Linked DNA regions of Macaca fascicularis. The protein of the gene in region 2 interacts with the protein of the main gene of each other region in a pairwise test. Links are inferred from orthologs where the notes say so. Each region holds a gene or a part of one and is shown on either strand. Other genes may lie near its edges. The genes, in order: CD81 and GLP1R.

The links.
Region 1: the proteins of GLP1R (region 2) and CD81 interact in a protein complementation assay, tested with the Homo sapiens proteins (2 studies listed by BioGRID). The link is inferred for Macaca fascicularis from reciprocal best matches to the Homo sapiens genes GLP1R and CD81.

Annotation. Positions count from the first base shown.
Region 1 is NC_088388.1:2,296,911-2,301,160, forward strand, and holds the start of CD81 (CD81 antigen), read left to right. Parts: upstream 1-1,383; 5' UTR 1,384-1,615; coding exon 1,616-1,681; intron 1,682-4,250. UniProt on the Homo sapiens protein: Structural component of specialized membrane microdomains known as tetraspanin-enriched microdomains (TERMs), which act as platforms for receptor clustering and signaling.
Region 2 is NC_088378.1:132,564,387-132,568,862, forward strand, and holds the start of GLP1R (glucagon-like peptide 1 receptor), read right to left. Parts: upstream 3,074-4,476; 5' UTR 3,003-3,073; coding exon 2,925-3,002; intron 1-2,924.

The DNA.
Region 1 (4,250 bases), on a different chromosome or scaffold from region 2:
TGCGATCTCGGCTCACTGCAAGCTCCGCCTCCCGGGTTCACGCCATTCTCCTGCCTCAGCCTCCCGAGTAGCTGGGACTACAGGCGCCCACAACTGCGCCCGGCTAATTTTTTTGTATTTTTAGTAGAGACGGGGTTTCACCGTGGTCTCGATCTCCTGACCTTGTGATCCGCCCGCCTCGGCCTCCCAAAGTGCTGGGATTACAGGCGTGAGCCACCGCGCCCGGCCGTGAATTTAAATTACAATGAAACGCAATGAAAAATTCGGTTCCTTGTGGCCACATTTCCAGTACCCAGTAGTCATTTGTGCCAGGGGTTATCCAGCTACAGAACATTCCCATCATTGCAGAAGGTTCTATCAGTTAGCACTGGATTGGACGACATTTGCTAAGACGAGCTAGCTAGAGCACGGTTCTCCGGACCTGGTTCCACATGGTTCCCAGGTAAGCTCCCGCCCACGACGCAGCCCTGTTGTCCATCAATTTTCTTGGAGAGGACATGGGAAACCTTTGTCGGTGTGTCATCTCCTGCGAAGGCCTTCACTCCTTCCTCTGGGCAGGAAGCACCCCTCACTCTGAATCATTAGCCCAAAGCAGTAAGTGCAGCGGGCCTGGCCCCACACCTACAGGAAGAGCCACAGCGTGAGGCTGGCATCCCTGGGGCACGACACAACCAGGATGTGGATGAAATAGATGCAATATCTGGAGGTTCTCTTATAGGTGGCTCTGGCCTCCTGGACACTTCACACTGGTCTGGGAGCTGCCCTCTCAGGGCCCAGTGACCTTTTCAGATGCAGACTCCTGCAGCATGGGTCAGCAATTCTTCCCTTCCATGGGACAGGGATTGGTTGCCTGTACTTGAGGCCAACACTGACTAGGGGGCCTCATGCCTGCCCCGTTCCAGCCCCGGAGAGCAATGTGAGCAAACCCTCCTGTCTCTGCAAAGCCAACCACTGTGGCATCACCTCCTTTAGGGAGCCCTCCCAGATTGTCCAAGGTGCTCACCTCCTTTGGGGAGCCCTCCCAGATTGTCCAAGGTGCTTGAGGGAGGGAGGAATAGGTTGTTCTCCCGGCACCGGGCCTGCACTCCTGGGTAGACGCTGCATGCCCGTCCTCAGGCGCGGCCCTGCTGCCACCCCCTCGGGGGCTCGGAGCGCGACAGCAGCTTAGGGACGCCTCCCGCGCCCAGCACGGTGCACCCGGGCCCTGAGGTCCTGGCCGAAACGCGCCAAGTTGGGGGTAGGTGCAGCGCCCCCATACCCCTCCGATGCGCGCCCTGGCGACGGGAGGCGGGGCCGGAGGCGGGGCGCGAGCTGGCCGGGGCGGGGCCTACGGGGGGCGGGACCGAGGCGTCCTATAAGTGGTGCTGAGCGCGGCGCGCGCCCGGCCACAGAGCGAGCGCGCAGCGGCGGAGATAGCGGCGACCCCACCGCGCATCCGGCCAGGCCTCCGGCGCCCCGCGCCCCCCGCGCCCCTGCGCCCCCGCGCCCCGTTCTTCGCACCGAGGCCCCTAGGCCCGCCAGGCCCCCTTGCCGGCTGCCCGCCAGGCCCCGCGCCGGCCCGCCCGCCTCCCAGGACCGGCCCGCGCCCCGCAGGCCGCCCGCCGCCCGCGTCGCCATGGGAGTGGAGGGGTGTACCAAGTGCATCAAGTACCTGCTCTTCGTCTTCAATTTCGTCTTCTGGGTAAGGGCTGGGCCGGGGGCCAGGGCGGGAGGGGACGGGCACACACCCCACCTCGGGCAGGTCCCGCGGCCGCGTGCTAGGCCCCGCGGGCGCAGCGCGGGCCGCGAAGTTGTGGGGCCACCTGTGGGCTCCAGGAGCGGGGTGGGGGGTCGCCCGGGGCCGCCGCGCCCCCCAACTTTGGGGCTGAGGGCTGCGAGCCGAGTTTCGGGGCCTCTGTGCGCGGGGGCCCAGCTCTGCGGCCGGGCCGGGGCTTCTGGGGGCCGCCGGGCAGTTCCCGCTAAGTGATAGTGATGGGTGCGGTGGGCGCGGGCCGGGACCCGAGTACCCGGCCGCCCCTCAGCTGAGGAGGGGCCTGCGCGGGTCCCTGGCCGCGGATTCCGGACTGCTGCTTCGCGGGGACGAAGGGGGGGCTCGCGGGCGGGACTCCTGGCGCCCCGCCCCCATGAGCTCATCAAGGGCCGCCGCCCCTGGATGGTGGGGCGGGGGCGCACACTTTGCCCGAGGTTGGGGGCGATCGCCTCACTCTCTCCCCAGCCCAGCTAACTCGCCAGTCTGCTGTCACCACCCGGGACCTTCCCGGGGGTCGCGCCTAAAAGGATGTCACCGCTGGGATGGCCCAAAAGCTGGGGTGCGCGCACCCTGGCTGTCCTGTCTGGGGGCCGATCTCCCTCTCCTCACCCAGACACGTTCCAGCCTAGGCCTCCTCCCAGAAGGGCTCTGGAGGCCTTGCAGGAGTGGGGTCCCGCGGTTCTGAGTTGGCACAAGGAAGAGAGTGGCACCAGGGGCCTGGAGTGGATGGCAGGGTCTGGGAGTGGGGCCGCTGCTTTGGAAAGAGGGGCCCCCACGCTGGGCATCTTTGGGTGCCAACGTGGGTGGAGGAGGGTCTCCTGCTGAGAATGGCTTTCTCCTGACCGCAGTCTTTGCTGCTGGGAAGTGACTGATGGGCTTTCGCCTTTTGTTTCCATTTCCTGTCAGTGTTGGAATTGGGGAGGGGGTGGAAATCCCTTCTTGGCCTGGAAGGACTGGAGTGGGTGTCCATGATGGTGACCTCCCCGCGGCCACGCCCCTGGGCAGACACCGCAAGCCCCTCCCCGTGTCCCCCCAGGCTGTCACCCCCTTCTCGTGGAAGACTCGGCTGATGTCCCAGTGGAGCGAGTGTTTCTCAAGTTGAGGCAGGGAGGGCAAACTTTTAAAATGGCCCCGGAGCCAGTGTGTGGGACCAGAGACATCTGTTTCCCATCTGGACTGTGAGGATCCCAGTGCGGATCTGGGGCAGGGAGATTGTTTGGACGGGGAAGGACAGAGGCTGAACTGAACTCTCAGCTGGGAGAGGAGTGGGGCGGTCACATCCCACCTTCCCCAAGACCGACTGTTCTGCACAGTCTGCTTGGGACACTGGTGGGAGTCACTGTAGCCTTTGGCTCTGCCCTGGCAGTGGGGGCAGCGAGGCCATCTGGGAGGGGCTTGCCCTCCCCAGGCACAGCCCTGGCACCTCGGCCGTTGCTTAGTGGTGGCCTGCTTCAGCCCAGGCATGTGGGAGAGGCACGGGACACAGGATGTCCCTCTGCCGGCCCCTGGAGCCCCATCCCCTGATGAGGAGAGTGTGGGCCTGGGGGCGGGGGCTGAAGGGGAGTCAGGGAAGGGGACTTCTCTGGAGGTGGATTTTTGCTCTCTGGACGATGCGTCACCGCTGGGTCACCGCTGGGTGAGTCCCTCCTGCCTGCCCAGGCTGAGAGGTGTCCCTGGCAGTCCCCCGGGAGTGTCGCCACGGCGGGCCTGGAAGTTTCCCAGGCAGCTGGGGTGGAGACCTGACGCATCCCAGGGATGCTTGTTATTAAGGCTCGAGGAAATGTCTCCAAGGCCTCACCACTCCTCTCCCCAGGGCCCGCTCCCCGCAAAGCATTGAGAACTGAGTCCGTTCACAGTCACTGTGGACCCACCCATCCACTGGGGCTCTGTTGTAGCCAGGAATGCCAGGCTGGGTGAGGTGAGGTTGGTGGGCACCACCCTGGTGGACCCCCCTCCACCGTGGTGTCGCAGGGTGTGTGGCTGAGAGCACAGTGCCATGGGCTTGGGCCTCCCTCAGTGGAGTCCCCACCACACTGCCCTGGTCCTGGGCCTTGGCCTCCCCCGTCTGCAGTGGGGGCCCTCAATGAGCCTGCCTCCTGGCGTTGTTGGTGGATTCACTGACATGCCTGAGTGTTGACAGGGGGCTTGGTACAGGAAGGGCTCAGGGTGTGGGGGTTGGCCAAGGGTCCAAAGGGACCCCTGCCTCAGAGAACCCAGCCCAGGCAGGCAGGATGTGCAGTGGGGAAGGGGCTGCAGGAACCCTGCAGGGCCCAGAGGGACTCAGTGCAGTCCCGTGGGCTCAGGGGAGGCTGGTGGGGAGGAGGTTGACAATGTGTGTCTGGATGGGGCGCTTGTTAAAAGTTCCATTTTAGAGAGGAAAAAGGCCTTGCCTGTGGGAGAAGGCAGCTGGGGTAGCCTGACCTCTTTCACAGAAAGGAGCCCCCCCACACACGCACAGGCACTCACACACACGAATGTGCACACACCCTCACTCCCACCT
Region 2 (4,476 bases):
GACATGCAGGGTCACAAACACATAGACACTGTCAGATGCACAACTGCATGCTGAGATGTTGCACACAGGGACTCATACCCACACAGACTGTTACACACACGGTCACTCACATATACCTGGGAAATGGGGGCTCATACAGCTCACTCCCTTCTCCCCCTGATCTGTCTCAGTCTACCTGTCTCTATCTCTGCCCCCACCACCACCACCACCAACACACACATAGGCATTTTCCTAGGGGCAGGCTGCCGCCGAGGAAGCCTGTTTTGCCTTGGTGCAGGGCATTCGAGGGCAGGATGTGGTTTCTTGGTTGCTCCTGCCCCAGCCCCCAGCCTGGGTTCTGTCCAGAAGGAAGCCCAGATTAGAACAATGTCCACTCTGACCAACGCTCAGCCCTGGACTCCATCCACCATTCACTAGAGTACAGAGACCCAGGGTCTCCAAGAGCCCCTCTCAGTCCTATCCTGCAGCCCTGGAAAACACTTCCAAATCCCCAAGGACAAATGGGTCAGTTCCCCCATTTGACTAAAGTGACTAAAGCTGCCATTTCAGGGTGCCAGTGTCCATCCCCTCCATAACCCTGTGTGATAGAGTTTATGATCCCTATTTACAGATGAGGACACAGACTGGGGATAATCAAATATGCAACTCAAGATCACCAGCTAATAGCAGTCTCTATATTTGAATCCAGTTCTGATTTTAACTTTGAGTGCCAAAGGCTTGCCTGTCTCCTCAGTAGGCCCACTCCCTCTCCGGGGTCTTGGACAGGTAAGGACCAGGGTAGGGGAGTGAGGTTTCCCAGCAACAATGAAAGAGTGGCCTAGGGCACCTTTTCCAGAAGTCGACTCAGCCATCCCCCTACCTGCAGGGATGCTGCTTCCAGCCTCAGCAGACCCGACAGTGAGCAGCTCACTCTCCGAGTTCTCCCTTCAGTCCCATCTGAGTAGGAGGTATTAGATCAAGAGCCCAGCCCCTCACCCCTTTCTCCTCCCTGCTCCTGAACTGCTGGACTACTTTATACAGGGACCCTCTTTTCTGAGCTTTCATCCCCCCATCAGCAACACGAGGGGAGAAACTCTAACCCTGCTGACTTCATAGGCAGAAAACAAAATGCAAAATACACTATTTTTTAGTCCTATAAGCATGCATGATGTTGTGTCATAATTATTGCATCTATCCTTAACACCCCCTGTAACTCAGATCTCCGTGGCAGCTCAGTTTCCCATGACAAGAGCACCCCCTCAAGGCTCCCGTCCCAGCTAGGACCTGTCCCCTCCTATCCTTCTCTACCACCCCAATTGTGTTATGCCCCCAGGTTGCCCAGCTTTTGCCCTAGGCCTGGGGCTAAGGAGTAACATTGGATCAGAGGGAAGTGCGGGTTCAGGAGCCTGACACTTCTGGGAATAAGGCCTCTGGGAAGACAGTTCACAGAAAGTTTCCTCTTCCCTATGCTTTCTTCCCTTCATTCAAACCAGATCTGTAAACCTGGCCTAGAGCAGGATGGGACCAGGAAGCAGAGCCTCCACCCCTACCCCAACCCAGTCCATAAGAGGAGGGAAGGATGGGCAAGAACCATGTCTTGGGTCTGCAGCCCTGACCCCTGAAAGATCCCAACCACACCAGGAAAACCAAGGCCTGGCTGGGGGCGCTGTGGGGAAGGTGCCTTGGAAGGGAGTGGGTGTCTCCTGGGGCTCAGGGCAGCAGGTGGGCTGGGGAACAGGGGCAAGGAGAGGATGCATCTGGAAAAGAATCTGGGGGCTGAAAATGTGCTGGCCCCTCAGCTGAGAGGCACGTCTGTCCACATCTGGGGTTTCAGCTGGGGTGGAGTCTGCCCTCACCAAGGCAATGGTTCTGGGACAAACTTCAAGGTTCGTCTAGGTCCACTCCCCACGGATCTCAGTTTTTTAGGTCTGGCGGTAGCAGTGGGAGGTGATGGGAAGAACCTGTTTCCTGACCCAGGACAGGCCACCCAAGTCTATGTCTCCTCTCTGTTCAAGCATGTCCCAGCATCTTTGGACAGCTCCCCTCTTCAAAAGCAGCTGACCACTGCCCCCAGCCCAGGAGCCTGGGGCAGGAAAGGCAGCAAAGACAGGAGAGAGGGGCTACAGATGTCCACCTGTGGCCTGCTCTCTGGTGGCACCAAGGAGCCCAGGTGTTCCTGCGTGTCCCAGCATGCGTTCTCTTGGTGCCTGTTGTCAGTGTAGGGTCAGAATGGGAGGTCAGCAGAGTGGGTGGGGTGGGGCGGTGGGTTAGCTGCTTCCAGAGGGGGCACTGAGCCTTCTGCCTGTTTGCTACAGAGGCTGGAAGGGGACGGGGGTAGGTTCCATCTGGGAGGTCACTGGGAAGGACAAGCTGCCACCGCAGGGTCCCAGGGGCCATGAATCAAAGGCTGTGCTGGGGGCTGACGAGAAAGGGAGAGGAGCCCGGTCTCCGCACCCTGGCGCTCTCAGCCTTCATAGGGCCTTCTCAGGGTCTTTGAGCAGGTGGATTGCCTGGGGAGGCACTGCGGGAGAGGGGTCTGGGGCAGACTGTGGGGCGGAGGGAGTCTAGGAGGATGCCAGGCTGTGCCAGGGCCACTGACACGGTTTAGAAGGAGTTGGGAAAGTGGCAGGGAGGAAGGAGAAGCGGGGCAGAAGTCAGCGCAGGGCGGCCGCGGGGCAGCGGGTGCCCTGGCAGAGGGACCCTGGCGGCCAGGAAGAGGGCGTCCCGCTGGGGTTGGGGGAATCCTCTGTGGTTCAAGCCCTCACCTGGGCCTTCCAGCCCAAGGGCACAAACTCTCCAGTCCCTACTCCCCCCGAGGCTTTCGGATGCCCCCGCCAGCGGTCTCGGAGTTTCATTCAAGTCCCGGGGCCCCCCGCCAGGACACTGCGCCTGCAGCCCGCAGCGCCACCCCCTCCCCCGGTGTCGTCGGGGTCCCTGGGTCTCACCTGGGGGCGGGGGCCGGCCCTGCCCACCACCCCGAGCAGCAGGAGCGCGAGGCGCAGCGGGCCGGGGGTGCCGGCCATGGCGGGGAGTTCAGGACTGGGCCATCGCTGCCACCTGCGGAACCGCGTGAGGCGACTGATTCCGGGCGGGTGGCGGGCGGCGGGGGAGGAGCCGGCGAGGGGCCGCCCTGCCGGCGGGAGGGGCCTGGTAGGGTCCTGGTTCTTCCGTCCCGGCCGCCAGAGACCCCTGGGCCCGCCCCGCCGCACCCCTTGGCCGGTCCCGGGCCAGGAGATAGTGGGCACTGCGCTCCAAGCGAGCGCGGCTGGGGATCAGAAAGCGCAGGAGGCGGCCACCAGCTCTGAGCGCCGACAGTGCGCCTGGCCGGCTTTCAGCGACAAGCCGGGCCCGCCTCCCACCCTGGCACCCCGGACCTCCTCCCTGGTCTCCCAGCTGAAGAAAGCCACAGCAACCCCCGCCCATTCAAGGTCCGTCAAAGGAAACTGAGGCCCGAAGAGTGGACGGGACTTGTCCAAGGTCACACGGCTTGGCAGGCCACTCCTGGAAAGTATCCCCAGAGCCAGGGGTGACTAATAAGAACTTTTTTTCCCCAGGGTTACCCCTTCCCAGGTCCTCTCCTCATTCCCAGGCTCTGTCCTGAAGGCAGGCCCGGGATAGTCAAGGTTGGGGGTGGGGAGAGGGGGACAAATGGATCCACAGAGCCCTGACAGTCGGAAGGGTCTAGAGGTTCCCCTCTACCTGGGAACTTCAGCATTGCAGGGCAGGGAGGTATGAGGCTGGAATCTGCCTTTCTGGAAGCTTCCCTGCCACCTCTTGCCGCTCCAGCCTCCTGCTCTTGTAACCTGTGTATGTGTGATAACGTGTGCCCATGGTTGTTCCTGCCTTCTCTATCTGTCTCCCTGCTTCGCTTTTTGGGGACTCTGGATTTTTCCTGCCTCTGTTTCCACTCCCACCCCTAAACACGGCAGGGCCCTCAGGTTCCCTTCTTATACCCAACAAGTGGAAAGAGAACACTAAGAGGGCACTGACTGTATCTTCCCTAATGCTCTTGAGAAGTGGGGATGGGAAAAGAGGATCCCCCACCAAAGAACCTTGATGCCACTCTTAGGAAAGGTGAGTTGTGGCGGTGCCCAGCCTTGGACCTGCCGTGGGGCATGTCGACTAAAGGGACAGGAAGTTTGTGAGAATAGCTAGTCCTGGGGAGAGAACTGAACTTCTCAAAGTCCTGAGGAAGGCTGGACCTGTCTGAGCCCAGGGAGGGAGACAGCCTGTGGGAGGGGCCCCTGGCTTCCATTCAGCAGGAGAGACCCTCCTCTCCAGCAAGCTCTGGTTCCACCACCTGAGACTCATTTATTCCCTCCCGTCCCAAGAGGTCGGTCTAGCAGGGACCTTCTACGTATCACTTAGGATTATTAGGTTGTTCAGCTGGGAGTGACAGAAAATCCCACCCCAAATAACAATGGCATAACCAAGGGCTCTCTCATGTCAAGCAAGGCCAGAGGTTCAGCCCAAGGTTGGAGTGGTGGCTCCCTGATC